Linked DNA regions of Coturnix japonica. The protein of the gene in region 1 purifies or fractionates together with the protein of each later gene. This does not show direct contact. Links are inferred from orthologs where the notes say so. Each region holds a gene or a part of one and is shown in the gene's direction. Other genes may lie near its edges. The genes, in order: ARPC5L, ARPC2, ACTR3, CAPZB, ARPC1A and ARPC3.

The links.
Region 2: the proteins of ARPC5L (region 1) and ARPC2 fractionate together in Homo sapiens (co-fractionation; 7 studies listed by BioGRID and IntAct, with this or other methods). This does not show direct contact. The link is inferred for Coturnix japonica from reciprocal best matches to the Homo sapiens genes ARPC5L and ARPC2.
Region 3: the proteins of ARPC5L (region 1) and ACTR3 purify together in Homo sapiens (affinity purification with mass spectrometry; 6 studies listed by BioGRID and IntAct, counting the BioPlex papers as one, with this or other methods). This does not show direct contact. The link is inferred for Coturnix japonica from reciprocal best matches to the Homo sapiens genes ARPC5L and ACTR3.
Region 4: the proteins of ARPC5L (region 1) and CAPZB purify together in Homo sapiens (co-immunoprecipitation; 3 studies listed by BioGRID and IntAct, with this or other methods). This does not show direct contact. The link is inferred for Coturnix japonica from reciprocal best matches to the Homo sapiens genes ARPC5L and CAPZB.
Region 5: the proteins of ARPC5L (region 1) and ARPC1A fractionate together in Homo sapiens (co-fractionation; 7 studies listed by BioGRID and IntAct, with this or other methods). This does not show direct contact. The link is inferred for Coturnix japonica from reciprocal best matches to the Homo sapiens genes ARPC5L and ARPC1A.
Region 6: the proteins of ARPC5L (region 1) and ARPC3 purify together in Homo sapiens (affinity purification with mass spectrometry; 7 studies listed by BioGRID and IntAct, counting the BioPlex papers as one, with this or other methods). This does not show direct contact. The link is inferred for Coturnix japonica from reciprocal best matches to the Homo sapiens genes ARPC5L and ARPC3.

The regions. Positions count from the first base shown.
Region 1 is NC_029532.1:8,068,877-8,073,921, reverse strand, and holds the start of ARPC5L (actin-related protein 2/3 complex subunit 5-like protein), read left to right. Parts: upstream 1-1,832; 5' UTR 1,833-1,880; coding exon 1,881-2,020; intron 2,021-2,440; coding exon 2,441-2,513; intron 2,514-3,032; coding exon 3,033-3,209; intron 3,210-4,943; coding exon 4,944-5,006; 3' UTR 5,007-5,045. Other genes in the region: PPP6C (serine/threonine-protein phosphatase 6 catalytic subunit), read left to right, coding at 115-324, 1,150-1,398. UniProt on the Homo sapiens protein: May function as component of the Arp2/3 complex which is involved in regulation of actin polymerization and together with an activating nucleation-promoting factor (NPF) mediates the formation of branched actin networks.
Region 2 is NC_029522.1:24,164,513-24,169,708, forward strand, and holds the start of ARPC2 (actin-related protein 2/3 complex subunit 2), read left to right. Parts: upstream 1-1,722; 5' UTR 1,723-1,848; coding exon 1,849-1,922; intron 1,923-5,196. Other genes in the region: C-X-C chemokine receptor type 1-like, read right to left, coding at 1-540, 1,135-1,624. UniProt on the Homo sapiens protein: Actin-binding component of the Arp2/3 complex, a multiprotein complex that mediates actin polymerization upon stimulation by nucleation-promoting factor (NPF).
Region 3 is NC_029522.1:26,860,847-26,864,773, reverse strand, and holds the end of ACTR3 (actin-related protein 3), read left to right. Parts: coding exon 1-23; intron 24-530; coding exon 531-656; intron 657-1,276; coding exon 1,277-1,360; intron 1,361-1,739; coding exon 1,740-1,835; 3' UTR 1,836-2,646; downstream 2,647-3,927. UniProt on the Homo sapiens protein: ATP-binding component of the Arp2/3 complex, a multiprotein complex that mediates actin polymerization upon stimulation by nucleation-promoting factor (NPF).
Region 4 is NC_029536.1:4,083,487-4,088,066, reverse strand, and holds part of CAPZB (F-actin-capping protein subunit beta), read left to right. Parts: intron 1-80; coding exon 81-222; intron 223-754; coding exon 755-871; intron 872-4,580. UniProt on the Homo sapiens protein: F-actin-capping proteins bind in a Ca(2+)-independent manner to the fast growing ends of actin filaments (barbed end) thereby blocking the exchange of subunits at these ends.
Region 5 is NC_029529.1:4,392,137-4,397,471, forward strand, and holds the start of ARPC1A (actin-related protein 2/3 complex subunit 1A), read left to right. Parts: upstream 1-1,753; 5' UTR 1,754-1,886; intron 1,887-2,274; exon of another isoform or gene 2,275-2,376; intron 2,377-2,682; exon of another isoform or gene 2,683-3,595; intron 3,596-4,565; 5' UTR 4,566-4,583; coding exon 4,584-4,647; intron 4,648-5,217; coding exon 5,218-5,322; intron 5,323-5,335. UniProt on the Homo sapiens protein: Probably functions as a component of the Arp2/3 complex which is involved in regulation of actin polymerization and together with an activating nucleation-promoting factor (NPF) mediates the formation of branched actin networks.
Region 6 is NC_029530.1:4,513,028-4,518,076, forward strand, and holds the start of ARPC3 (actin-related protein 2/3 complex subunit 3), read left to right. Parts: upstream 1-1,539; 5' UTR 1,540-1,668; coding exon 1,669-1,674; intron 1,675-2,420; coding exon 2,421-2,520; intron 2,521-3,363; coding exon 3,364-3,440; intron 3,441-3,587; coding exon 3,588-3,656; intron 3,657-3,876; coding exon 3,877-4,003; intron 4,004-4,399; coding exon 4,400-4,494; intron 4,495-4,788; coding exon 4,789-4,851; 3' UTR 4,852-5,049. Other genes in the region: GPN3 (GPN-loop GTPase 3), read left to right, coding at 1-69, 425-487. UniProt on the Homo sapiens protein: Component of the Arp2/3 complex, a multiprotein complex that mediates actin polymerization upon stimulation by nucleation-promoting factor (NPF).

The DNA.
Region 1 (5,045 bases):
CAGGTAGATTGTCTAAATATAACTTGAAGAATTGGTGGTGGTGAGGGTGGTGCTGGAGAGGTTCTTGGTTTGGTTGAAATACTGAGCATTCTTTGTGTTCCTTTTTCTCTCCAGCTAATAGATGAGCAGATTCTCTGTGTGCACGGTGGATTGTCTCCGGACATCAAGACACTCGATCAGATTCGCACCATTGAACGTAATCAAGAAATTCCTCATAAAGGCGCCTTCTGTGACCTGGTTTGGTCTGATCCAGAAGATGTGGATACGTGGGCCATCAGTCCGCGAGGGGCGGGTTGGCTGTTTGGTGCTAAGGTGACAAATGAGGTAACGATGCCGTCCTGTGCTGCGTCCCATAATTGCAGGTGTGAGATGAAGTGTTTGACTTTACTGTAGTGACGAGTGGATTAAGGAACTTCCCTTGTGAGGGGACTGAGTTGGTGTGGAGGTGAGGGAGGTTTTCTCGTGACATACTCTTTTCCCCTCATAAAGTGCCAAGTGAGATAATGCACACCTTGTGTTTAAAAAGTGTAATGCAGTGAGACTAACTAGAATTACTAGGCTTTGTGTAGAATACTTGTCTAATGATTTGGAAGAAGAAATACTAGCTTTGACTTAATTTTTGTTACTTTGCAACATAGTAAGAGGCTCAGACCCACTGAACTTCCCAGGCTTCTGAACCGGCCCTAAGATGAATCCCTGCCTCATGCAGTGTGTTGTTCTCTGCTCCTCTGCAGCATATTCAGGAGGGATTGAAAGGCGTGGGCAGTGCAGGCCTAGGCACCACGGCTGTCACAGGCAGGAGTGTTTCTCACTGTTCAGGTTTCAAAGCCCAAAGTTGCCCTCTGTGCTCTGACAGGAGCGGTTTGCTCCCAGCACCATCAGCTCAGTCCCAGCTCTGTGGGGGTGCTGGGCACACATGGCTGGGGCCGCAGAGCTGTGCTGGGAGCACAGGGACACAGGGAGTGTCCTTAGCACAGCCTGCACCTCTCAGAGGCCTTGGGAAAACCTCCCGGGTGGGTCAGTGCTGTCAGCGCTGCAGAGCCCAGAGCTGAGCCCGGAGCTGGGCCCACACAGCGCTGAGGAGCTCTGCTGGGCAGCAGCTGCTGCGCGGCCACGCACAGAGCTGTGACACGCCACTTTTCTTTGCAGTTTGTCCACATCAACAACCTGAAGCTCATCTGCAGAGCACATCAGCTGGTTCACGAAGGCTACAAATTCATGTTTGACGAGAAGTTGGTAACGGTGTGGTCAGCTCCCAATTACTGCTATCGCTGCGGGAACATCGCTTCCATCATGGTCTTCCAGGACGTAAATACGAGAGAACCGAGGCTGTTCCGCGCCGTCCCAGACTCAGAGCGGGTGATCCCTCCCCGGACAACCACCCCCTACTTCCTCTGAGCCGCCCCCGCCCTACAATATACTTTTTATTGAGCACTTTGCTGCTGAGATGCCGCCTCTGCCTTTTATCTTTAACTTATCGCCGTTCGTTGTCATTGCGCTGCGCAGCCGTTTCCCCGCCCTCCCCCGGATCCATTTGTGCGGATCCGAACCGCTCGTTGTTCGTTTCTCCGCTGAGCGGCGCCGTTCGGCTGCTCCCGGTGCTCCGTGCGGCTCCGTTCGTCTCCCGTAGATGTACGAGATTTCAGCAGCAAAGTTCCGCGGCCGTTGGTGCCGCCGCCCACTTTGTAATTAAAGGCTCGTTGTGGTTTTTCAGCGCCGTGTCGCTCCGTGGCGCCGGACGGGACGGGACGGGACGGGACGGGACGGGGGGGCGCACTCCGCTCCGCTCCTTCCTGCTCCGGGCGGGGCGGGCTCCGCGCTTCCGGTTCCGGCGGAGCGGCGGGGGAGGTTCCGGTTCCGACGGTTCCGGTTCCGTCGGCATGGCGCGGAGCACGCTCTCGTCCCGCTTCCGCCGCCTGGACATCGATCAGTACGACGAGAACCGCTTCGTGGAGGAGCCCGAGGAGGCGGCGGCGGCCGAACCCGACGCGAGCCCCGAGGTGGAGGCGCTGCTGAGGCAGTATCCTTCATGGCGGCACGGCCACCGAGCGCTGCCCGCGGGGCCTCGGGAAGGTTTGCGGGGCGGGAGCGCGGCCTGAGGCTGCTCGGTACTGCCCGGTGCTGCCCGGTATCGCCCGGTACTGCTCGGTACTGCTCGGTACTGCCCCGTACTGCCCGGTACTGCCCGGTGCTGGCTGGTATCGCCCGGTGCTGCCCGGTATCGCCCGGTGCCGCTCGGTGCTGCCCGGTGCTGCCCGGTGCTGCTCGGTGCTGCTTGGTGCTGCCCTCCGTGCTGCCCCCGGTCCCGTCCCTCCCCGCTGCCGTTGTGTGGCCGTAGTTCAGGTACCCGCTTTGCAGCGCCCTCCTCCCCTGCCCCCTCCCCTTATCGCTCCGTCCCGGTGCTCCCGGTGCCGCCGTTGCTCCTTGACTCTCGCCGTAGAGGCGAAGCGCTGCGCGCGCTGCACGCGGCCCTAAGGAACAACCCCGCACAGACGCGCAGCGCGGCCATGAAGGTGAGTGCGGCCCCGGGACCGGTAACGAGCGGCGCCCCCGGCGCTGACCTTGTGCTCCATGGCACCTCCCGTCCGTCTGCTCTTGAAGGACGGCGCTGCGGTTTGTGTGCGGGTGTCGCGGTGCTGCTGTAGGACGGCCCGGTGCTGCTGTGTGCCCGGGGAGCGGCCCGTGCTGTGGGGAAACGCGGCCGGCAGCAGCCGGGGGCTGAGAGGGAGCACAGAGCACAGCCCAGGGGATCTTGTGCTGCAGGAGCCGGACGTTGTTCGTTGTTCTCGGGCTGTAGGTTTGTTCTGCAGTGCAGTTCAGGTGGTTCCCCCCAGGTGGGAACACCAACAAGTCCAGTTTTAAAGCTCTCTGCTCTTCTTCCTTCTCACTACTGAAACTTAAAGTGTAAAACTTCCTCCTGTTTGGCTGCTGCATCTTCACACCATCAGCGCAGCCGCTGCTCCGAGTGCTTTGCTGCACTTGGGGTCACATCCAGCTTTGCTGATCCTAATGCCGTTTTCCTTCCTGTGCAGGAGCAGGCGCAGGGCACCATGCTCAGAGTCCTCACGTCTTTTAAGAGCAGTGAAATTGAACAAGCGGTGAACTCCTTAGACAGAAACGGGATTGACTTGTTAATGAAGTATATTTATAAAGGATTTGAAAAGCCGACAGAAAATAGCAGTGCAATATTACTCCAATGGCATGAAAAGGTGAGTGTTTGCTCTGGGCTCTGTTGTCACTGTCGGTGCTTTCAGGACCTCCTGGATGGGGAGGTGTGCGATGAGGGGGATCCTCCCTGAGGAGCAGAGCTCGGTGCTGCCTTTTGTTCTTGGCCTCTTGGTGTTGGGCGTATGGAGTTTCTGTGGTACTTCAGAGCTCTCCTCAGCCTGGAGGGATGGGAGGGGTGGGTGTGGCAGAGCAGCGTCAGCTGCAGGAAGGTTTATGACTTGTGTCTGGTGGTGGTTTCCCCCACAAGGAGCAGCAGCTGGGAGTGGAGGTGAGATTGATTGATTGATTGATTGAAGGTGCCTTTGGCTCATGGGGTGCCCAGGATGGCTCAGATGTGATGCTTTTTGTCAGTGAAACGCTGTGCTGAAGTACATCCGAGCTGACCAGTTATAGCAAACCTGCTCAGTTTGCACAGTAAAGGCTTTGATGCCTCAGTGGCACTTAGTGGCGTTTCTGTGGCAGGGTCGCAGCGAGGGGGGCTGTATGTGCTGTGCTCACAGCTGGCTGCTGGCCGGTCATTTGCACAGGGCGTGCTTCCTTGTGATGAGTTAAAACAAGTTGTGCAATGGTGACTCCAGCTCCTGGCAGCTGTCCCCAGCCTTGCAGAATATCGATAGGCAGGAGGGGGAGGAAATTGCACAGGAAGGAACATGTTTGTGCTTGACATTTTGTGTTGTTCTTCCTACTGGAGGCTCTTTTTGGGTCACCGTAGGTTGATACTCCCAGTACGTAACATTACACAAGACTGCCCTGACTGGAAAGAAGTCACTGCTCAGAACACGTAGACACGTGCAAGCATCTCTTCCCCTTTGTTTTCAAAGGAAAGCTGCAGTTGTGCAGTGTGCAGGGAGCTGCTTAGAGCTTTGTGTTCTGCTTTCCAGCAGTGCAGGCAGGACGTGCAGCTCACTCTGACTGTGGGCAGCAGCTCAGCAGCACCTGCCTGGCCCCTGGAAGGGCCTGATGCCATTTCTGCATCCGTCAGGTCTAATCTGAGCAGCTCCTCTGCGGCCCTCACTTACATGCATCTCCTCCTAGACTTTAGAAGAATGTTTCATTTTTATTAAGGATGCAAATGAAACCAGACTAAGCCCTTCCTCCTTTCCCCATTCAGGAGCAGGAGTGTAAGGTATTCTGCATCATCGGTGTCCTTCACTAGATGCAAGTCAGTTCATAAGGTTTTGTGTACTTTAGCCTTCAGATGTGGTGGGATGTGTTACAATGAGCTGTTTTGTCCACCCTTCATTTCCTTGCTTCTTAGATTTATAGCATGTTTAGAGAGTAGCGCTGTGTATGTACTGCAAAAACCTGGGTCAAAGAAGGAGCTCATCTGTACGTTCAGAGAGGACAGGGGGCATAGAGCTCCCGAGTTCATGGCCCAAGACAGGAACAGGCAAGGAGCTGAAATGTGGCAAAGGAATAAGTGTGTGAATGTAGAACTTGTTACTGCAGGAAGCTGAAGGTTTTAGCAGTGCAGAAGGTACCTGCACAGGTACAGAGGGGTGGAACAACTTGAGAACTGATGCTCTGGTTGTAGCAATTAGCATAAAACATTGCTTAGGAGTTAACAAATACAGCGTGCGCTTTGTGTGACGGAACACACAAGTTGTACCAGCAGAACCACTGCCAGCCCTGCAGGCTGCTAAGAACAATGAAGGTTTCATCGTAAGCCGTGTGTGACTGTAGAACTGATCTTGTCTCCTTCTCCCACCCCACAGGCATTAGCAGCAGGTGGACTAGGTTCCATAGTAAGAGTTCTTACAGCAAGAAAGACTGTTTAAAGACTATTAACTCGAAGCAAGACAACCATCAGTTTTGGA
Region 2 (5,196 bases), on another chromosome or scaffold:
GCACAGGCAGGGAGAGCAGCACCGAGAACACCCAGATGCCCACGCAGACAAACTTCACCCAGTGTCTCTTCTCAGTGGCAGCGCGGGTGGCGTAGACGATGGCCAAGTAGCGGTCCACGCTGATGCAAGCCAACAGCAGGATGCCGCTGTAGAAGTTGGATTCCTGCAGCACCGAGATGGCTTTGCACATGACGGTGCCAAAAACCCACTCGTGGGCCCAGTAGGCAGCCCAGAGCGGCAGGCTGAGGGCAAAGAGCAGGTCGGCCACAGCCAGGTTGAGCAGGTAGATGTCGGTGACGGAGCGGTTCATGTGGCTGGAGGTGACCACCAGCACCACCAGCCCGTTGCCCACCATGCTGAGGAGGAAGACCAAGCAGTAGATGAAGGCTACGAAGTATTTGTTGGCTACAGAACCTTCATTACGGCATGGGGAAGAGGAGACATCGATGTCAGGCAGAACCAGGCTGTAGTTGCCATAGTCAGAAGTGTAGTTGTATAAGATATCGAAGAGTTCATCGGCGTAAAATGTCCCCATTTTGCCTGCAAAGCACAAAGCAACGTGGGCTCAGGGCACATCCAGCACTTCCAGCCCCCATTGCTCTCCCACACCCCATAACCTCACCACACCATACAATGAACAGGCTCATGCCTGAAAACTATCCCCATACGTCCTCCTGCCCAACAGCCCCGTGTGGACTGCTTCACCTCAGCACTGTCCCCTCCAGGTTCAGCCCCAATGAAGGATCCCTCCTGAGTCCCTCCGGTTGGTGTGAGTCCTTTGAATCCTGATGTCCTCCCCAAAAACCCTTCTCACACCAGCTCCCCGAGTGCACCACAGTACCCAGAGCAGAGGAAACACGCTTCTCCCCACTATATTTTTGGCTTCTCCTTCCGATTCCCCACCCAAATTCCCTGCAGTTCCTATGGGGACAGATTTCTGCCCACAGAAGGGGAAGTCTCCATTTCCTCCCTGGACCCCACGCAGAAAACTACTTGGGGACATCAGCTCCCCCCAGGGTTGGGGTTACCCTACGTGGAGCTCAGATTATGCTATGCAGAGCCCTCCCTGCACCCCTTGCCCAGGTAAGCAGGGTGCCCCATGGCACCCCATAGCCAAGCATCCCACGCACTCACCGCCTCTGCTGCACCCCAAATCTTCTCCCCTTCCCAGCTCCAAGCCCGGCTGAGGTCTGCCACGGGATGTTACCCCAAAACGGAGACCCTGGGGAGCACGGGGACGTGCCAGCAGGTCCCACACCTGCACCAAGTGAGCCAGGCTCAGAGCTGGCACTGCCGCTTTATGCAGCGCAGGGAGGAAGCAAGGTTGCAAAACCTTCTGCAGCACGAAGAGGAAGCGGCAGCAGAGGGGACACCTTCCCTGCACCCCCAGCCCAGGGCACAGCACACCCGCTTTGCACGGCTGGGGGGGGTTCGTGGGGCTCTGCTGGCCATGGGGCTTCACCCCATCCCTATGGGTGCTCCGGGGACACCCCATATTATCCTGGGGCGCTCTCACATCATTAGTATAACGCTGGGGGGGCACTGTAGGGACTCCATCATCACACATAGGGACTCCATCATCCCACACAGGGACTCCATCACCCCACATGTAGGCAGTCCCCATTCCGGCTCACCCCACCATTCCCCCTTCACACCCCACATTCACTCCCGACCCCCATCATGTAGGCGGTGTGTGTTGGGGGGGGGCGGGACGAGCCCGGAAGTGACGCGCGGGCTCGAGAGCGGAAGCGGCGGCGCAGGCTCGGGCGGGTCCCCGGTGCGCGCAGCGGGCTCGGCTCCCTCCGGCCTCGGAGCGCTGAGAGCCGGTTCCCCAACCCCGGTACCGACATGATCCTGCTCGAGGTCAACAACCGTATCATCGAAGAGACCCTCACGTTGAAGTTCGAGGGCGCGGCCGCCGGGTAGGGCAGGGAGATGGGTCGGTGAATGAGGCCGGGGCGGGGCGGAGGAGGAAGCGTTGCGGCCTAGTGAGGCCTGAGGGAGGGGAGGGGGATAAGGAGCTAAGGGATAATGTCTATGGGAGAGGCGTGGGAGGGGCGGGTGGCACCGAGCTGGGCCTTGGGTGTGAGGTATGACAGGGCAATGGGGACATGGGGTGGGGCCGGCAAGGGTGGAGGGGGCTGAGGTGGTGGGACTGAGTGGATGAATGGAAGATTGTGTGAGGCCAGGCTCCATGGGGTGCTTAGGGCTGGGATTAGGTGAGAGTGATGGAGCTTGTGGTGTTGGGGTGTGCCATTGGGATGGGAGGTGTTGGCAGGGTCAGAGGATCCGCTTGTCCTGGCTGCTGGCATAGGGCTGCTGAGCATCTTGGCTTTGTGGAGGTTGTAGGGCAGTTGATCTGCACCTGTATCTTTGGTCTGGATCATATAGTCCCCGGGGAGCCACTGAGTGTTACTGACAGCAGCGCTTCAGTGCTGGGAAGATATTGTCTGAGCATAGTTCAGCTTGAGACAGTCATCTCACGTGAATGCCCTTATCTGCAGCCATGCAATCTCCAGAAAGAGATGCTGCCTTAGTGGTGGTCAGCCCTTAAATGGGATCTAGGAGACGTGGAGTCAAGCTCCACCCCTTCCAGGAGCACAGCTGAATTACCTTCACCTGTGCTCCCACAGCTCCCACTGTGCTGCCTTGTGGGATCACCACGCTGCTCTCTTCCCTGCCATCAGCCTCTTCATGTGATTATTTAGTGCAACATATCCCCAAAGCACCACACTGGGAGGAGAGAGCTCTTGGGTGCTGCATTTTCCATTAGGAAAAAAACCTGAAGTATCTGGAGGTTAATAGTGTGTGTCAAAAAACACTCGTTCACCACAAGCTCATATGGAGGCGTTCTGCTGGTGGGAGCCTGTGTGCGTGTCCCTGCATCAGTCCAAGTGCAGCAGCAGCAGTGAATGGAGGATGCAGCCATCAGGAGACTGAGTGCAGCTCAAAGCCCTGACTCAGTGCAGCTAGAGCTGAGGTTACTCACTCACCTCCAATCTACAATGTTTCCATTTTGCTGTACAGCAAAGCTTGTTACTGCCTCAGCGTGCTTGCCTGGCATACCAATCCTTCCTGGATCAATTTGCTGTGAGTGTGGCCAATGATATTCTGCCTCTTGTTCTATGGGCCGTCCTTTCTTTTGCATAGAAGACCAGCTAAGTGCTCCTTCTGGATGAGTGTTGCACCCTCAGAATGTTGCTGGAGGGGAGGAAGTAATTCACTTCTGCATTTTCTTCTGTGCTTGTGCTGTTCTGCTGTCCAGGAAAGAACAAGGCATGGATGAAGGTCAGAGATGAAACCAAGGAAAATGGAAATCTACTTCTCTGAACAAGTCTTTTTGGGTACTGGTGCTATGCCATGCCATGTTTATTCATGAGATATTTCTTTTCCATCCAGCTGGTGTTCCAGGGTCATCCTGTGGCATTGAGCTTGAAGGCAGGAGGGGATTTGCTCTGTTTGGGTGACCGTCAACCCAAGATGTGTCCTGGGGATGGACCCAGGGTGGTCAGGGCAAGGACACACTCCAAGGGATTAAGTGATTGAGAGGAGTAAGTCACTGTGAGCTGACCCTGAGTTATCTGCCCTGCAACTTGAATTGTGCAGATGTGATGCACAGTTTATCTAAACTTGCTCCATGATGTGGGCACTTCCCTCTCCTTCTGTGACTGTGCCATGGATCCAGCAGCTCCCTGAGCTGAAAGATTAGTCTGTCAAAGTGCTGAAGTGGGGGAATACCTGGGAACAATAACCTATTTTCAAGGTAAAACATTTCTGTCTCCTGTGTTCACTTCTTTTTAAAGCACAGCAGAGAACTACCCCCCCAAAACAGATTTGCCCTCCAGTTTTGGTCCACTCTGATCCCAGCCAAACTGTAGCAGAGGGCTTGTGTTCTTAGGTATGGTTCTTCAGCCTTACATTGCTGGCAGTTTAGGGCAAGCTAATTAATCATCTGTCTCAAATTGGTACTTACTGTTTACCTGCTGTGCAGGAGAAGAAATTGCATAGGTGGAGAACAGTGTGATTTTTCCCTTGGTTGGAGGTGGAGGGGAAACATATCTCATTCAATGTTAGGTTTCTGTAAAGCTTTCAATAGGGGCAAATTTGCAGGGTTTCATGAGTGCTGGTTGAATGGGAAAACAGCTGAAGCTTCAACTTCTGTGCTGTAAACCAGTTCCTGTAGGCTGCTTGGAGAGTTTGGCTGCAACTGCATCCACATCCTCTGTGGTATTTCCCATTTGTGGTCCCTGTGGTGCTCACCTGCTCTGCAGTGGAGTGCTCTGGCCTTGCTGGGTGAAGGTGGGTGATACGAACTTTGTGCTGCCAGTGCTGCCTGGGAGTGACTTCCTTGTGGGGTAGCTGGGGACAGCACAGGGATGGAGGAGCTCAGGCAGCCCAGCATCTGCAGAATGGCCAATCCTGGAGCAGGTGAGAAGCGTTCAGGTGATGTTTGCACTTTGGGGTTCGGTGCAGGATCAGCAGCACCTCCTGCAGCTGCCGCGTTTGGTGCAAGACAAGAGCAGATATCAGCAGAGCCTGCAGACTGGCTGCCGTGCTGACAGTGGAAGCTGGGGTCCCAGCAATGCTGTGGGTCAGCACACATGGGGACTTCCATTACCGCACAGCAAAGTGCTTCTCAAGTTTGTGGCAGGCGTGCTGTGGGAGCTCTTTGATTTCATGCACGCTTACAGCTCACGCAAAGTAGCTTTTGTTAGTCGAGTGGGGCCTGGGGAGAGAGGGGGGGAGGAACAGCTTTGGATAATTTTAGACATTGCTCATAATTTTTTTATTGGGGTGACCTTTCTGGAGCGAGAGCCTGCAGTCTGTCACTGAATCTGGCTCACTCTCATCCAACAGTGCATCAACTCGGTGATCTGCAGGCTCTGCTCAGAGCTGGAAGCTCGAAGCTTTGAAATATTCCCCCCACTCCTTTCATGAGGTTTTTTTTCCCCCCCCCTCCTCTGGAGCGAGATATTCTAATATCTGTGTGCCTGCAGCTTTTAAAATAATTGCCATCTTCCTTTATTGGGTACAAACCTTAATTGCGATGTGGGAGCTGCTTTAGTCATCTATCGATGTGGTTGTTGGCCAGGCTCGCATTTGCATGCAGGTCTGTTTAATGCAGGAGATGAGGGCTCTGGCTAATTACACAGCCTTCGTTCTTCTGTTCTTCAATTTGTTGTAACATATGGCCGA
Region 3 (3,927 bases), on another chromosome or scaffold:
ATGTTAGACGTCCTCTGTATAAGGTCAGTAGCTGAAGTGCTATGTTTCTTTAGTACTTGTTCTGGGAGGATGGTGGTTTGTATTGAAATCTACTGGAAACTGGGATTAAGAAAGAAAGTGTTTTAAAAGTATAAAAGTAAACCATTTTTTCTGGAAAGGAGAAGGCTGTATGTTCACATAAGTGTTTTTCAGAAGGGGATGTTTCATTGCTCAAGTCAAATTGTAATGAAATTGTGGAAATTAAAATCTGAGCCAAAGAAATGAGATAAGATATGGATTCTAAATCAGAGACAATTTAAATGAGACAACCTCTTTGAGAATTCATATTCTGTCATGCTTCGGGTGTAAAATAATCTAAAACAGGGTAAAAGCACACCTGTATGATTATAAATTTGTTTAAAAGAGCCAACATAAGTGAGATTAGGAAAAAAAAAATTAGAATTTAAGAACTGGATGGAGCTGGAGATGTGCATTTTCAGAAACATTGAATACAGTTTAAAAATCAATGTATCTATTTTGACTCTAAACAGAATATTGTCCTCTCTGGAGGCTCAACCATGTTCAGGGACTTTGGGCGCCGTTTACAGCGAGACTTGAAAAGAACTGTTGATGCCAGACTGAAACTTAGTGAAGAACTCAGTGGCGGCAGACTGAAGGTTAGTTCTTGTAGCTAATACATTTAACAAGCATCTCCTTAACTTGGGTTCTTTCTACTTTTGATCTATGATCTGATGTTTACATTTTTTTTTCTGGTAACTCAGAATACATAAGACACCTGCAGGTTGAAATTATTATTATTATTATTATTATTATTATTATTATTATTAGGCAAGAGTGAAGGGATTTTCTCATTTCTAGTTATTGAAATAACTAGACAAGTTCAATCAATGCTATTTTTAAGTGCATCTTAGTAATAAAAAGTGACAAATTTAAAAGCATGTCTCTATAAAGTGTTTTGAGAGGAGTAAGTACTATGGGTCTTTTCTTGCAATTGAAGAAACAGTGCTTTGAGGAACTTAAGCAGAAAATAGAAGGTGGGTAATCAGAGAGGAGGAACCAGCAGGAATGCAAGTAGCTTTTAATGTCTGATAATGTAAATAGCTCTTGCTACTAAATCACTTTATTCTTAGTCAGGGTTGAACAACTGAAAAACTGATAGTATAATTGTATAATTACATACCCAGCATTTAGGTAAATGATAGTTTGAGAGAGGCGAACTTGGAATATACAGTCCTATAGGAACATATTTGAATATATGTATATTTTTCTTCCGTAGCCTAAGCCCATTGATGTACAAGTCATTACACACCATATGCAAAGATATGCCGTTTGGTTTGGAGGATCAATGCTGGCTTCCACAGTAAGTTAGCTATAAAGCTGAATATGTGTTTTTGGAGTTCTCATCTCTCATTTAGTTCATAATAAATAGAGTTGGGGATTTTCTGATGATTTTTGAGTAACAAATATTAACCCATTCCCCCTAAGCTTTTGCATTAGGCTTCAAAGATCTGGAAGAGCAAATGAAAGCTGAATTAATTTTATAATGATATATATTTTTTTTAATGGTGATTTTGGGTTTGTGATAGTATACATTGATCATGCTGTTGTTTGGCCGTGTGACAAATGAGGTTAATTTTGGGGCTTAGAAGTTCAGTTCTTTTCCCATTTGCTTTATAGATGTTAGTATTGTTAAGCTGAGGTGTGAACACCACTGACGTTTTTTCTCTTCCCCTTTACAGCCTGAATTCTACCAAGTATGCCATACCAAAAAAGATTATGAAGAAATTGGTCCTAGCATCTGTCGTCACAACCCAGTGTTTGGAGTTATGTCTTAAAGCTGACCCTTGCAGGGGTCAGGGAAAGGGAGGTGGGGAGGAGTCTTTCTGATTACTTGTTTGTCTGATGGCCGGTATTAAGATAACAAACATGACTTGACAATAAGGAAAAGACCAAACACAATTAAACAAGGTTATTTTAATAAGTGTCTCAACATGCGGATGTAGTGGAAAGCCAAAATGATCACGTTTTTTTCTTTAGATTGATTATTTGAACCTGTGCGTAACAAAGTGGATTTTAGTTCTTTCTGTGCCCTGATATTTTGTATATTAATGAATTATCCAAGATTTGATGGGATTTGACAGTGTATAGATAGTCAGCTCTCTAATGCTTCAGTTGTACCCTCTCATGGGTACGAAGCTGGAGTTTGTTTATATTTCTTACTTTTTTATACTTTGAGGAAAAAAAAAAAACGGATTAAAGAAACTGTAATATTTGAGGGGAAAAAAAGAATTTACCAGTGACCATCTTAAAAAGAAATTAAAACAGAAAAAGTCATTGTGATTCCTGCAACTCGTTGTTGCAAATCACAGCCAATCTAAATCCTGGGTTCCATACAATGCGACTGCTTTTGGAACTAAGAAGCTCCTATCTTGGATTAACCGATGCCTGCCTAGTGCTTTCTGATTACTCGGTGCGTTTTCATTCTATCTCTTGCTTTAAAAAAAAAAGAAAGAAAGAAAGACAAGACTTGGACCAGTATTGCAGTTCTGTAGTGTCATTTCTAATTAAAACCAAATAATCAGGTTATCGAAATTGGTGTATTTAAAGCCTAACACCATTCCAATAAAGGCACAAAATTTCTTTTTATGTTTGTGTCAGACTTGTTAATGTCGTTACATGGGAAGTTGTGAGCATGGGTTCCTACGTATCTGCTATGGTTTTTGAAGAGTAAGATTGGCTTGTAAGGTAGAAATCATTATGTGCATTGTATAAACTGAAGTGTGAACTTGTTAGAATGGCAGTTTATATGTTCATCTGGACAGCACTTACCTATATAAATCTAACAGCTTCTCCATCGTTAGGTTTGTTCATCTACTTCATTCTGTAACATTTTTGTTTCCCATTTCCTTTCAAGTGATGGCGTACAGGAGGCAGTTCTGCCTTTGAAATCTCTGGTTTTTCTGCAAGAAAATACCATGTAGATAAAAAGTGAAGTGAAAACAGTATCTCTCTCATTCTTTCTAGGAAGAAAGCTTCATATATTGAGTGAAATTACTTGCATTTTCTGTTGCTATTTGCTAGAAAAATCTACTTCAGACACTCACTAATATAGTTAAGATTGTTTACACAGAAGACCACAAGAGGGAGATCTGTTGGTTTCTTCTCCTGAACTGAAAAGATTGCTCAAGATTTTTTCTTTAACAGAGCTTTCAGTTACATCAAAAGATGATTAATGAGGCTCTGAAACAAGGGTGAGCGTGGAAAGCTCTTTTTACAGTAAATATAAGAATTCACGTGCTAGATTTGAGTGGAACCTTGGTGCAAGCAACAAAGCTAAATAATTGTATCACAAAACTACTATTAACCTCTCCTGATCAGTGCTGCAGTTCTTGTATGTGTAGCATTGAGAGTTTTCAGATGATGGCTTTTTGAGTCACAGCTGCTGACTAATTCATGTGGTAAGGCCCATAGGCAAATATGTGTAAAATAAAGAGGTTAATATAAGTTCTTTTCCAACAATCCTCTGGTTCTGCAACTGTATCATGCTTTAATGACTGGAATTCCACTGCAGTCATTAGGCTTGCGATGTCCTGAAGATAACAACTATTTTTCCACTGAAATTAGGTCTTGAAAATTCACTGTGAAGAATCCTTCATGCTACATAGACACACACATTGAGTCCTCTCAAATATGGGTAAGACTGCCTGGTAATGTTGCCTGGCAGGAGTGGGGACTGTCTCCTCCAGTAGCTGCCCCAGGTCTGGTGCTCGTGGAGTCCCTGTATTTTTATGGTTGAGCTTCTGGAAAATGATATGTGTGGTAAACGTGCCACTGGGTTTGTTGTGTGGCCATCTCTCTCCAGAGCTGAAGGGGTGGGTATCCTGTATGATCTGAATTAAATGGCTAAAGAGTGGTACATGTATTTTC
Region 4 (4,580 bases), on another chromosome or scaffold:
TCTGCTTATTTAAGATGATTATCTGACTCCAGCTTGGATCCTGCTTTCTGTTAACACGCCTATTGGATTGCATCCTGCAGGTATTTCGAAGGTGGAGTCTCCTCTGTCTACCTCTGGGATCTGGATCATGGTTTTGCCGGTGTGATCCTCATTAAGAAAGCTGGAGATGGATCAAAGAAGATTAAGGGATGCTGGGATTCCATCCACGTGGTGGAGGTTCAGGTACAGCCTCTGGGGCAGCTGATATTCCTAAGTGAAAACAAAACCCAGTTAATTCCAGACAATTAACGAGCACAGGTGTTCCACTGAACAATGCAATATTGTGTTCGGGGCTGTAAACTTCTTTCCCCTGTTAATTTTGAAAATTCCCCGAAGCAATTTGGATAGAGATAAGTCAGGCCTGTAATCAAAAAGAATCCCAGAAGAATTGAAGGTATGTTGCTTTCTGTACTCGCGATCCTGAGATGATTTTTTTCCCCCCTCTTAAGAAACATAAAGGTTTACAGATAAATATCACTAATTAGGTAATAAAAACGAGGTAACGGGAGGTTAAATTGCTCCAGCAAGATTTTGCTTTTGGAGAACTGGGAAAATAGGCAAACTTGTGCTTGTTTTTAATAGGCAGGCTGTGCCCTGTAACTGCAGTTACATGCATCTGTCCTTTTACTCGTGGAGCCTCTGTGCTCAGCCACCTTGTGTAGTATCTGGAGGGTTTGTAACCTTTTGTGTTTTTCCTTTTTCCTCCCTTTTGCAGGAGAAATCCAGCGGCCGTACTGCTCATTACAAGCTGACCTCCACAGTGATGCTGTGGCTGCAGACTAATAAAACTGGTTCTGGTACCATGAACCTTGGCGGGAGCCTTACCAGACAGGTACGCCTGCATACTGCGCCGGTGCACATTGCAGACCCTGCATGCCTTTCCTTATTTATATACCCGGTAGCCTCAGTCAGGAACAGAAAGCTTATTTTGTGAGGTGTTGGATCAACGTCTGTTCTCGTGCTGCATGTGCACTCCATTGAAGAATATAAGGCACAAGTGTGTGGTTACCAGGAAGCCCCTTGAATTTGGCTTGATGGCAGTGTAACTTTCAATTAGAAATACAAAACATTCAGCAGGAGGTTAGATGTTCATTTAAGTCTTTAATTTGTGGCCACTGCAACCAGCCCTGTATTGTGCTTAGACCTTCAGTTCTTCTGTTCTTAAAGGCTTTCAGTATTTGCCTGTATCCTTCTTTAGTGTTTTAGTCCTGCAGTACCAGGACAGTGATAAAAAATGACATGTCTTCTAAGCATTTGCTTTTTATTCCAGCTCAAATTGCTTTGGCTTCCCCTTGAGAAAGCCATTTCTCAGAGGGAAGGTGCCAGAATGGTGACTGTTAGGCTGCACTGCTGTCAAAGGCTCTGGCAGAGCTGAGTGCATTGCCTGAAGGTGCCTCTGCCCCAGCCACCTGCCAGAGGTTGCTGTCTCTGTACTGCATGAATTGGGGTTGTTTAAGATCTGGGTTGTGGAAGTCAGTGACACGAAAAGAGTAATAAACTCAGGGGACAGGAGGCATATTGTGTGGTCATGAGTGACTAGAGAGATTGGCAGTTGCTAAAACTCCTTTATGAGACTTCCCAGGGCAGCCTGTTGCTTTCGATACAAAGGACAATGCAGACTCTGTTAAGTAGCCTGTGGTTTTGTACAGGTTTGAGTCAGGCAAGGGAACAAAGGGTCTACGATCATCGGGAGGAACTGAATTGTGTTACTCTTGCAGACATGGAAGCTTGCCCTAGACCTGGGTGATTTTTCTTTCCACCTTGTTGACTTACAGAAGAAACTGATAGGAGAAATAACAGGAAGGGGAAAAAGAAGCATCTGGAGATGGTTTTTGAGCATTGCGTACTCTTTTAGAATGTTTGCAGTAATTACACTCGAGTTATGGTGACCCGGACAAATATTTAATCACAGGCCTTCCTAATACTTTAAATCATAGCTGTGAAGTGGACGCCAAGGGCTTGACTCTGGCCATGGACTTATGGTGTGTGAGAGATATGCCAAGGAAAACAAGAGTCTGTTGAGGATGGGTGTCCTCAGTACACCTTGGCCTGAACTCCTAGGCCTTGTTTAGTTTGACTTTCACTCTCTCAGCTTTAGCGAGGAGATTCATGCTTCTGTCATCATTTGAACAGCAGATCATTTAATTCATATGTGATGCATTAAAGCAGGGGCCTGCTTCCAATGTAAGTAACCATAAAGGAGCCACTGGGGTAATGATGCACTGCTCCTGCACAAACAATGGAAACTTGAGTTTTAGCATTTAGCTTTGGGCTGGAGAGCTCTGCTTTGCAGATGCCACCATACGCTTAATGGGACAGCAGTTCTATTTTTGCTTCTTGCTGGGCTTTTCATACAGTCTACAGTGAGCTCATACACTGACAGTAGGTTGTAGTTATCATGTGAATGACACGTCACTGTCTGACAGCATCAGTAAGCTGTTCTGACCGTCATTACAAAGTGCCTTTATCTAGAGTAGATTGTTCATGTTTTTGGTCAACTCAACATTGAAGCTACTTGACCACCTTTGATCCTAAAATGCAAACAGCAGATGTCCTTGTGTTTCAGTGCAGGCTTTTGAAGTGTTCACAAGTTTCGTAATATCCTGGCTTAAATGCTGATGGCAGGGAGAACCTTTCAGTGCTTGGAAAGGGAAGTCTGTTGAGAGCCATTACTTTGAAACCAGTTTCACCTCCGAGCTGCAAATCGGGTATTTTTCGAGTGATGACTGGAATGATTAAGTTGGTGGCCAGCAGCAGGCGCAAAGGAACAGCTCATGTAATGCCTCCTAATTCACCACCTCTGGCAGCTTCCAAGAGCTGGGCATGGCTCGCATTGAAATGCTATGGGGAGCATTTGTAGCTTCAAATGGAAACACTTGCTCAGTAATTCCCCGTCCTGATGTTTGCAGATGACACAGGGTGCAAGCAGTCAGGCAGTCCTGTTTGTTCTATGAGCGGACAGCACGGTACTGTGGAAGGATATGAAAGTAAGAGCCTAAAATCCTCCTGTTTAGGCTCTTCTTGAATGTTGCAGAGATTTCTTAAGACTAAAACCTTTTTTTCCTCTGCCTTGTCCCCAGATGCTGTGTATCTCAGTATTATACCTGACCTGGGGCCATGTCAAGTTCTGTTCTGGGTAGTTATTACTCAGAAGTCATTTCCCTGTCCTGTGTCTCCTTTAGTTTTGTCTCTTTGTTTGGAATGGGAGACTAGAGCATTTTATGTTTGTAAGTAGACAGAATAAGGAGGGAGAGATGTGAGACACTGAGGAGCTTGTCCTGGTTTGGGAGGCTGAAGCTCTTTGTGTAGCTTCACTTAGCCTGATGGTTTTCTAAATGAGAACTTCAGGCTTTCGCTTTGTACATTCAATATCCATTGCTACTGTCTTGCCCCAGAAGGCAAGAAAAGTCAGATAGAGGCCTGTTCCTGCAACTAGAGTGCTCTCCAGGCAGCTTGTGTTCTGGGGACAAGCCTGGATGCTGTTCAAGAGAGCGCAGAGCTGCTGCACCACAGCCAGGATGGAGGAAGCAGCTCCCAGCTCACATCTGACACTGGCAGGCTTCAATAAATACAGGGAGCGAGGCTGGAATTTGGAAAGGAACTCGGCATGTTCTGTGCTGTCTGCGTCAATGAGGGGCCACAGATTGAAGTGCTGTACGTCTGAGAGGAGAGGAAAGGACAGGACACACCGCCTTCGGTTTGCAACAAGGAGTGGTGCTTACAGGGGAATGAAAAATGCCAGCAGCTTTTTGGTTACCATGCACACACTCCAATGGCAGCAGGTAGCTCCCACCCCATCCTGATTCGAGCCAGATGCTTGGCACATGATTCTCTGTCTGACAGACATTAAGGTCCCATCCTCAGTGTGTGTTGCAATTACTTGTGCTGTCCACCACGGTACCGTGCTGCTTTGACCATGCTTTGTGCTTGCATCAGGCTGCGCTTTAATTTCACTCAGAGCAATTCTATGGTCCTGTTTCATTTTATGCAAAGTAGAAAGAAACCTTCCAGCTTTCTGGCAAACAATCAAATGTGCACTTTGTTGAACAGCTTTCTGGAGCCCCCCTCCTTAAGAGCAAGGCCAACAGGTGCCTTGCTGAGCTCCTGCTGTGCACAAAGAACCCGTCTGTGTTTACTAAGCCTGGGTGAGCATTGTGAGGAAGTGCCAGTCCACTGAGGAAGACGTTGGCTCCAAACCTGGAGTTTATTTACATCTGGAGGTATGGGAAGGGGAGGATATAAAGTTGTAGAGGAAGCGAAGCCTGGGATTTCAGATTAAAGCAGCGCAGATGTGTGTTGATTTTCGTGCTTGAAATACTCTGTAGCAAAGGTGGAACGTTTTGCAGAGCTGGATGAAGGCTGGTCTGCTGCAATCTGAGCTTTTCCTGCGCACAGGAAGATGTGCTCTGTGATATATTACTGCTCAGTAAAGCACCAACAGAGACATTCTGCCATTTATCATAATAGGTAAATCCTCTGGGGCTAGTGCTCTGCAATTAGGCAAGTCATATATTTTCATCAAGCTGAGCTTTCATGTAAAG
Region 5 (5,335 bases), on another chromosome or scaffold:
CTACTTTTATTACAATCAGTTTGATTTGGCTTGCAAGGCCTTAATCTCCAAAACATTGGCATCCTTTCTGGATTACCACAGTTAAATTGCACCAGCAATACCACAGGAACAAAGGTGGAACGTACTCTGGAAAGCTATGCTGAAGATGAAGCCTTTAATGCTTAAAAGCTCTGCAGAGTTCCTCATTTAGATACTTTCACCCCATCTGCTGAAAATGGTTTTGAAAACATAAAGCCATGCTTAAAGTCAATTTCATTCCCGTTATGTAACGTTACTTGGCCTAGTTGAGCATCCTTAATCTGTGCAGCTGAACTAGTTTTATCGTTAAGCCAATAAGGGCTGCAGCCATTACGTATCTCAGGGCTGAAGAACCACAGCAGCACCGGTTTAGGAGCCCATTAAGCAAAGTCTCCTTCCTGAATGAAAGACCTTCCATTGTACTTCACCCATTGTGAGAAATATTTGTCTGATCTATTCTTAAAACCTCTAAGAAAAGCCTCCATGTTGCCTAGTCATCTGCCTGCTACTTTAGCTTATGGCTCCTCACCCTACTACCCCCAATGGACATGAGAGAACAAATCGTCCCTTCCCTCATGGCAGCATCCTTTTATCTATTTGAAGACTTACGTCTGTGGCTCTGTTCCCTCCAGCTCTGTAACAGTCATGTGTTCAAAGACTGAGCATTATTTTTACCCTTTTTCCTCTAAATCACACACATTTTGCTCACATGGAGCCCAGCACTGGACACACCGTTTTAGCACAGCTCAGCATGGCAGGATGCCTGTATCCTATTAGCACTATACAGACCTGCATGGCATTCACTGCTCTAACAGCAGGACATTGCTATTCAGCTTGCAGCCCACAGCAGCTCCTCCATCCCTTCCTATAACACACAGCTGCCTTTCCTAACACCAATACAACCAGCCCCACAGTTATAAGCACACAGTACTACCTGATGCTTTTTCCCATTGAGTTCCCCTCTTTGCATTCTAGCCCTCTGACAGTGCATTAATACAAGCTCAGACTTGACCCCATCTCCAAACACAGCAATTACAGGGGCTGTTTCATTATAAATGAATAATGGACCGAAGGTATTTCCCCAGACAAGCGCTGACACCAAGTACATTGTACCCCAACCAGCTCTACCATGCTGGACACAGCTTGCCTTGCTCCCTCCATCCACCGAGGCACAGCATGCCCCCCTCACACAGCCATAGAGCCCTCTTACACCTATAGACCCCCCTCACACAGCCATAGACCCCTCTTACACCTATAGACCCCCTTCACACAGCCATAGACCCCTCTTACACCTATAGACCCCCCCCTCACACAGCCATAGAGCCCTCTCACACCTATAGACCCCCCTCACAAGCCAGCACAAAGACGCCTCTTTACACTCTTACTATAACTTCCCCTCTCAGCACCTATAGGAGCCCCTCAACACAGCTATAGACCCCTCAACAACAGCCCATAGACCTCTACACCTATAGACCCCCTCACACAGCCATAGAGCCCTCTTACACCTATAGACCCCCTCACACACAACGTGAAGCCCCCCCCATCTGTGCCACATCCCCACACTGCGCATGCGCCCCCAACCCGCCCGCCGCCTTTGTGTGCGGCACATTCCTCCCTCCCCCCCGCGCATGCGCACAACGCCTTCCCGTCACGCCCCGACACCCCCCTCCCCGTCAGCATGGCGCATGCGCATCCCGCGGGGTTGGCCGGCGGGCGGCGCGCATGCGCAGTGCGCGTTTCCTGGCTCCCTTGTCAGTGCCGGGCCGCCCCCCTTTCCCACCCCTCCCCTCGGCCGCCGCCGCCGCCCGGAGCGGAGTCGCGTTGACTGCCCAGAGTCCGCGAGCCCCGCTCCGCCCCCGCAGCCTCAGGTGAGTCCCGGCCCCGACCGAACGGCTGGCCGCCCTCAGGCCCAGCTGCTGAGGGGGCGGCGGCTCTGCAGCACTCAGCCGCGGCCTGCCCGCCGTGCGGGGCCCGTACCCGGCCCTGTGCTCATAGAGGGGCGGGTGGGCCGGGAGAGGGGGCGGCGGGGCAGCTCCGTCCTTGTCCGCACCGCACAGCGGCCTCAGCACCGGGCACCTGTGTGGGACGGCACCGCCCGGCTGAGTGCGGCCACCGCCCCGACGGGAACGGGCCGATATGACAGCGGGGGGAGGCAGCGATCAGTCACAGGCAGCTCTGGAAATAGGCAGAGATTTACAGCAGCTCTCACACTCACACTGTCTGTAATTTGGAAGCATCTCCTCGCTGTCTCCTTACCTCGTGCTTCTCGAGAGGTGACAGCAGCTCAGTCCTGGGCTTCTCAGGGCTGAGTTTCTGAGGGGCTGTGTGGGTGAGCAGGAGGAATTTTGGCACCCTGCCCTTAAAAGAAAATATTGAAACAAGGACAATTAGTTTGCATTTGAAAGGAAGCTCTATCTACCTAACAAAGTTACCTTGACAGTGCCTTTCCTATGTTAAATCCTGAGCTTGGCAGACAGGAGAACACTGTGGGGTTTATGCTGTATTGGTTACATCAAGTCATTCAGCCACTGATAAGAAATAAATCTTCATAAGATCTTACAAACAGTATTTATCTCCCCAAAGGAAATAATATTGCAACGATCAGATGGCAAATATTTGTGCTCTTTGAGATTGTCATCACTGTTCTTTCTTAATGAACATTACCTGCTTGCTGTGAGTTGTGGTGCTTGAGAAGGATGAGGATGCATCATGTCCCTTGTCCAGCTGTAAGCTTTGGGAACAGCCTGTAGGTTAGTGAGCAAAACAATCTCTGAACTAGGAGCTGTTAGGATGGGACAGCAGTGTTTGTACAGGGAGCCAATCTGTGCAGAAAGCACGAGGACTGCATTAGAAATAGCTGCATTCTTCAGGCAGCAGAGATTGGATAGTTTTACTTTGTATTTGGAAAGAATCAAAAAGGCTGAGCATTCCCTGTTGGTAGAAGAGCTCGTCAGCTTTTCTTGTATATGGAAATGCACTGCTACTGAATTGCTGGCATGTATTAAAGCAAGACTGGGGAAAAAGCAATTTGCTGTGATGTTTTGCTTATGTTAATGCATGGAATCTCACACCATAGCTGCCCAAGGTCAGAGGTAACTTGGATCATGGCAGTTCTCTCACATTAATAAAAATAAGTAATTATTCTTCTGAGGGCTGTACTCAAATAGCAGCTTTATGTGATCTTTAGCATATGATTATTAGAAGAAAATTAGAACAGTTACAATTATGAACTGGACTTAAAATGAAGTTCAGCTAAATGAGCTTTGAGTACATTTAATGACACTGCAGATCATGGCTTTCATATATAATATAGATTACTATATATATATATATATGAACAGTGCTGCATCATCTCTACTCAGGACTTTAGGCATATTTCTTAAAGCAGGGGAGTGCTCAGCTCTGTAAGGGGTTACTCATCTCTCATTCACTCCTGAGTTTCTGTGGGACTGCCGTTCATTTCCTGTTTGCTTCCAAATTCCTACCTTGTCCTGAAGTCTCCACCCTCTGCTAACATGGCCATACTTGGCTATGTTGTAATTTCAGGCTGCGATGGGTGTGGATGTCTTGGAGTGACATCACAGAGATGGTGCTTTTTAGATGTATGCAGTGGGGCAGACCGACAACGTGCCATCAGCCATGGATAAATTGCTACAAAAGTTTGTTTAATATGTGAAAGGAGGAAGAAATGGACAAATCCAAGTTGTGTGTGTTGAGCTGTGCACATTGCAGCTGTTGCAGGTGACCTTGAGTTGTTACAGTGCTACCTTCCATCCGTTTATGCTGTCCTTGATTAACACAGGACACAGAAATAAGATCTGATATATTAAACAGCTTCGCAGTCACCTGTTTGCACTGTCTCTTTCATAAGAGAAAAGAAAAAACTGGGTGTCTCACTTTGTATGAAACAAAGCATTCACAAACCCAAAGAATTCAATTTGATCTTTTACTGTTTGAGTCTCATAAGGATGGAAGCCATAAAGCAATTAATTGTTAGGATTAATTTGAAGGAATTAGTAATTAATTACTGATGTTAGTAGTTTTTCCCTGGGATACACATAAGTAGTTTTATCAAGCAACACATCAGCAGATTACAGTCACATCTGAGCACATCAGCTTAACCTCCTGATGGATGGAAAAGAAAAAGGCTTCATTGAGGCTCACAGCACTACAATACACACCAGAATGTCAAATCAGTTCACTGAGACATCACTGAATTTCTTATTTAAGTATTCTAATTCCCCAGTTAAATTCTTAGGTGTGTTAATTTCATAAGAACCTGTTTCCTCTTATGAGGATACAGGAAGAAACAAGTGCATACACCTTTTAGAGCAATTCATTGACCTACTAAAGATCTTGGGGCACACAGGGAAAGGTCTTAATTACAATGACACATGCACAGTAGATAGATCATCATAGTGGACTGAAGCAGCCTTTGTAGATGTTCAAGACCGATTTGTTTTTATAACTGTTCAACTTTGAAGTGCTTTGTTGTCATTTTTACATCTTTACGTTTTTTTTCCCCCCCCCCAACTTTTACAACATAGGAATATCTTTAACTCGGAATGTCTCTACATCAGTTCTTATTGGAGCCAATCACCTGCCATGCATGGAACAGAGACCGTACTCGTAAGTAACCTTTTCATTTACTTTTTCAACCGCTCTTTTCTCTGTGCTGTCAATCGGATCATCTTGAAACCTTCTGGACCACATTCAAGAAAGATGTGGTCAAATACATAACGCTGCACTTATAACCCAAAAAGCACATTACATTCCTAAATCTGGTTTTGATTTTTAGACCCTCTTTTGAAACTTTGACATGTGAGCAAACCCAGTCTTAGTGGAGCTCCAGAAAGTCTTGCCTTGGTCTTTACTTCATGAGAACATGACTTATCTCATACTCTTTAACCTCTTATTTCCCAGCCCCAAACCCAGCCTTTTCTTTTTATATATAGTCTTCTACTGAAGAAGGATAGTTATATTCTAAATGCACTGTCTTTCTGTTCAGTGTACTCACAATTGTGTTACAACCATCATTATTTGATATTATCCAGCAGGGATGTTAGCCCATCATTTACAAGGCCTATGTACTCTTAACTTTCAGAGCATTACAAGTTTTAGACTGAGAAGTTTTCCCCAAGTAAAAAGATATTAAAAAGAGCTTTCTGTACTAATGGACTGTTTCTTTTCTTCTACAAGAAATTGCCATTAGTCCTAATAATCATGAAGTTCACATCTACAAGAAGAATGGGAGCCAGTGGGTAAAAGCTCATGAGCTAAAGGAACACAATGGACACATTACAGGTAAGCAAAGAGC
Region 6 (5,049 bases), on another chromosome or scaffold:
AACATAGTTCTGCAGCACATAGACACTACCATCCAGTATGGAGAAGATCTTGAATTCAAAGAACCGAAGGTAAGATATTTCTGAAGATAAGATGAAAAATTAGAAAGGATCCACAATAGAAATCATAATATAATCATGTTATTTCAATGTTAAAGGTTGGAAAAGATGATTGTATGCCACTAAGATCTTCTTAAAAATTCAGTTTCCTACTCTCAGGATATGCAAAATAACCACACCTGGATTTTGATGTATACATATGGGAGAGCTTTAGAAACAAACTGCTGTTCAGGAAGTTTTGCTACTTGTTTTATAGAACTGCACTGGACATTGTTGTGCTTATTAAAATAAAGCATTGCAGAACTGACAGCATCCAACAGTCACTAGAGAAAAGTCAGGTATTACGTTTTCTGTTTTCTTGTTGCAGGAATATGAAGAAGATAAATCTGCACTCGTGGATGAGTATTTTCAAGATCACGTGAATGAGTAAAAAGCAGATGCTGGAAAAGAGGAAGAAAATGCATCGCTTGTGTGTTTTAAAGAAAGCAAAAACCATCCACCTCCACACAAACATATTTATGTGATGTTTTGCCTTTAAGATAACTAACATCGCTAGTGAGAAGTGAGCTATATGACGGTGTATACGACAGAATATAGTGAGCTGTATTACTGTTAATAGTTCTTTTGTAAATACAGAATGTTCCTGGACTCTCGAACGTTCTCAAAATATCTTTTATTATTATTTCTCCTAAAATATATTAATCCAATTTATTAGCTAATTTCAGCTGAATTGGAGGATGCTTTTCTTCTAGTCATATCCAAGTATTTATAAACCTTTCCTTGATCCTAAGGAACGAGTTTTATTAATGATTATTGAATAAAAGTGTTTTCTAAAAAGGGCCTTGTGGTGACGTAAAGCTTAATATCAGTAAATGCTCATATATAGGCGTGTCATCTTTTTCTATGTATTATATAGTTCCCAGGATTTGAGCCTATGTGTAGAAGAGCAGCACTTCTACCACTTGCGCCACAGGGGGGATTCAAACCCAGTAGAATAAGAGCATCTAATGTCATTTTGTTGGAGCGGCTTGGTAAACCAAACCAATGATTGAATACTTTGAGGCAGTGGCAGTTATCTAAACCTGAGGATATGACACAGCTACTCCCAGCCCTGGACAGTTAGGTGAGAGTTCAGGGTAGTCATTGCCATAACCAGAAAGAGGTTAGAATTAGAGAACACAGCTTTTGGGGACGCAGCTTTTTAAGGACTCCTTGCAGCCGCCTTTTCCTCCAGGCTGAACAGCCCATCTCCCTCAGCCCATCCTCACAGCAGAGGTGCCCTTTGCTCACGGAAAGGAGAAACCCAGCCCTTCAGCTTCAAATCTCCCCATTTTTTCGGCCTGACTCAAGTGACGAGGAGGTGGAGGGGGGGCAAAAGGGGGGCAAATGGGGCACTCTGCCTCACAAGGACAACAGTTCCCTCAGACCCAGCGCGTAATGGGGGGGGGTCAGTTCTGTGCTTCCCCATCAGGGAGCGGCTCCTCGGGGCGGTACGGGCTGTGGCTTCCCCCTGTCGCACCGCCCCGCTGCCTCATTTCCTGAAGGAAGAGGAAGATTTGCTACGAGCTCAGCGCCGCTGCCGTCGCACCGAGCTGCGCCCTGCCCTTCGCCATGCCGGTGAGCGGAGCGGGGCAGGGGGAGGGAAGGGGCAGGGCGGGCGCTGAGCGCCAGGGACGGACTGGGGGCGGATGAAAGGGGGGCTGTAGCCGGGAGCCTCGCACTGATGAGCGGATCGGTGTGGAGGGACCTGCCGCCTTCCTCTTTTCTTCCCCTTTTTTTTTTATCCCGTTCTGACCTCACAGAGTCAGCCCCCCCCCCCCCCCCGTGGCACCCAGCCGGGCGGCAGGAGTGCATCTGGGGGAACCGCACCACAAGGCCACACCAGAAAGTAGCACATCCCAGTGCTTCTTATTCACTTACATCAGTTTTAATGCACAGAAAGGCCTTTTGTGTGTGTATGTGATAAGCCTGGTTTTGGTTATTATTTAGATACTGACAGGCTGCTCTCAGCTCTCCCCACAGCCCTCTCCAGGCTGCACAGCCCCATCTCTCTCAGCCTGTGCTCTTCCACCACCACTGACAAATGGTTCCAATAAATGCTTTTGTGCTCATCGCTGGAATGGTGCTGAGTTGCAGAAGGCCTAAGTAAGAAATGACCATTGTTTGTGCAAGGAAAGGTTCCTGGAAGCACCACAGAATCACAGAATTATCAAGGTTGGAAAAGACCTAGAAGATCATCCAGTCCAACCATCACCAATACTTCCCAGTTAAATCATATCCCTAACAAACCAAACTCTGTTTTAACAGGATAAAGGAAGGGCAATATTCTGCAGGAATAATAAGCAGTCTTCCCTTGTCTCTAGGCTTACCATTCAACTTTAATGGACTCGGATACCAAGCTAGTGGGGAACATGGCACTGTTACCCATCAGAAGCCAGTTCAAAGGCCCAGCACCTCGAGAAAGTAAGTTTATAAGAATATAAGTGGTGCCAACTAGAAAAAATGATGATCCCATGGCTGTTATCTGGCACGGCTCTGGGTAATTCAGCTGCTTTAGCAATTAACACTGCCTACAGATAGTATTTTCACACTTCCTCCTGTGCCTCTTTTCAGCAGGCTGTGAGGATGTGGTGCTATTAACCCTTTGCTGTCAGAGGAAGTGGAGGTTTAGCTGCAGAACTCAGCTTTGGTGCAATAGCTGAGGATGCTTAACTGTGGCAATTCGGTTTGAAAAAGGAAATATTTCAGAATTCAAGCATGTTTGTAAAAGAAAGTGAAAGCTGCAGGTCAACCTGCCACTATGTAATCTACCCTTCCTCTTCTTTTTTTCAGGAGAATAATGAGGAAGGTTGTTTGATTGTGGTGTTAATTTCTCCCAAATATATTTTTGGGCCCTCAGAAAGAGTTTTAACAGTATATTCTATATACTGTTGCATATATATTATATTCTATACTGTTATACATATTAATATACATATATTAATATGTTCTATACTGTTAAAACTCTGGTGAGTCACTCAACTGGTAGGATATACCAAAGAACTGCCAACCTGCTGCCCTTTGTGAAGTCATGGGAAAAGAAGGGAGTTAAAAGTCCTACTAAGAGTAAGAAACTTAAATGGTTTGGTCAGAGATCACCAGTCTTTCACACGGGTAAAATTTACCATAGTCCTCTGCTTCTTGTAAATGATTTTGCTTTTGCAAGAAACACTGTTTGTGTACTTCAACATGTAAAAGTTATGACCAAATGTGTAGCAATGCACTGCTTAATTTTGGTTTTCTTTCATTTTCTTTCTTTTGCTTTAGCTAAAGATACAGATATTATAGATGAAGCCATCTACTACTTCAAAGCCAACGTTTTCTTCAAAAATTATGAAATTAAGGTATTTTTTTTCTGCAATAATTCCTTTCCTATGAGGAAATTGCTGGCACAAATGCCATGAACTCGTTCCTATTTCAAACTGTTAGCAGTTCCATGAAGTCCCTTGTAGTCTAACAGACCGGGCTCTGTGCTTACTCTTGTTTTGCAGAACGAGGCTGACAGAACACTGATCTACGTAACTCTCTACATTTCTGAGTGCTTGAAAAAGCTGCAAAAGGTAAGGAGGGAAACAGTCTGTTCTGGGGATTATACTCAGGAGAGTATTTGCTGGTATTCATCTCCTAAAGGCACAGCAGACTCTGTTCACTGCAACCCCAGTTTACAGAACCACAAAACAAATACTTGAGGCTGTGGTTTTGCAGGGACACTGCACTGCTGTTCTTGATAAGTCTTAATGGTTTAGGGATTGTAATCAATTGTTTGGTTGGTTCTTTCAGTGCAACTCTAAAGGCCAAGGAGAGAAAGAGATGTACACGCTAGGAATCACTAATTTCCCAATCCCTGGGGAACCTGGCTTTCCACTTAATGCCATTTATGCCAAACCTACCAACAAGCAAGAGGAAGGTAAGACTTAACAAAGACCCCTAAAGACTTGCTTTGGTCCAAGCTTTACCAGCTGTGTTTTTGCAGTTACAACTAGAAAACTTCTAGCTCTGTTTTCTGAGGTCTTCTGATCTTATAACTGCTAGATAGATTCTGTAACAGAGCTCAAGCTAACTCCTACACTGGCAGAGAGGAAACCCATAATGATGGGCAAAGGCTTAGCTGAAAGAAGAAAACAATTGAGATATGTTTTACTCATACAAATATAACAAATCCAAGTATGGCTGTAAAATGAACAGCCAGCAAGGGCCTACAGATGTGAGAGCTCACATTTCTTGCTGTAGGCAGTGATGTCCGCTGCCTTCACACTCAGTTTAGTTTGCCTTAATGCTACTTTGTCCTTGTGCTGTATTTCAGAGGTGATGAGAGCATACTTGCAGCAGCTCAGGCAAGAAACTGGCCTTCGACTTTGTGAAAAAGTATTTGATCCTCAGAGTGACAAGCCCAGTAAGGTAAGGATTTGGCCTAATGATCACAGATTCAATGAGAGGCTTGGTTGCTTTCTCCAAAAGATGGAGATGCATGAATTACATCCTGGTCTTGTATTTCATGTGCAAATATATTTGCATTTCATCATGAAAATTATTCAAGCTAATTTAGTTCCAAAGGCATAGCTTTCTGATGTTCATTATTACACTGCAATAAATATATTGGAATTGGTATTAAACCTACTTTTAAGTCACTATTTCATTTATAAGATAGAAACATCTCTTGCCTGTTTTCTAACTGTGTGCTTTCTTCTGCAGTGGTGGATCTGCTTTGTGAAGAGACAGTTCATGAACAAGAGCCTGTCTGGACCTGGGCAGTGAACAGACAAAGCAGCACCATGAAGCATTTCCACAGCCAGGTGTATGAAATATTCTGCCTTTGTTTTGGATATATTTTGTACCAAGAAAAAGAAGCGTATATGAAGAAAAAAGTCAACGAGGGGAAGAGGGGCGTAAAGTTAAAAGATCATTTGAGTACTGTAAGCAAGTAATATTAAGCTGGTGCTTAATAAATGATTC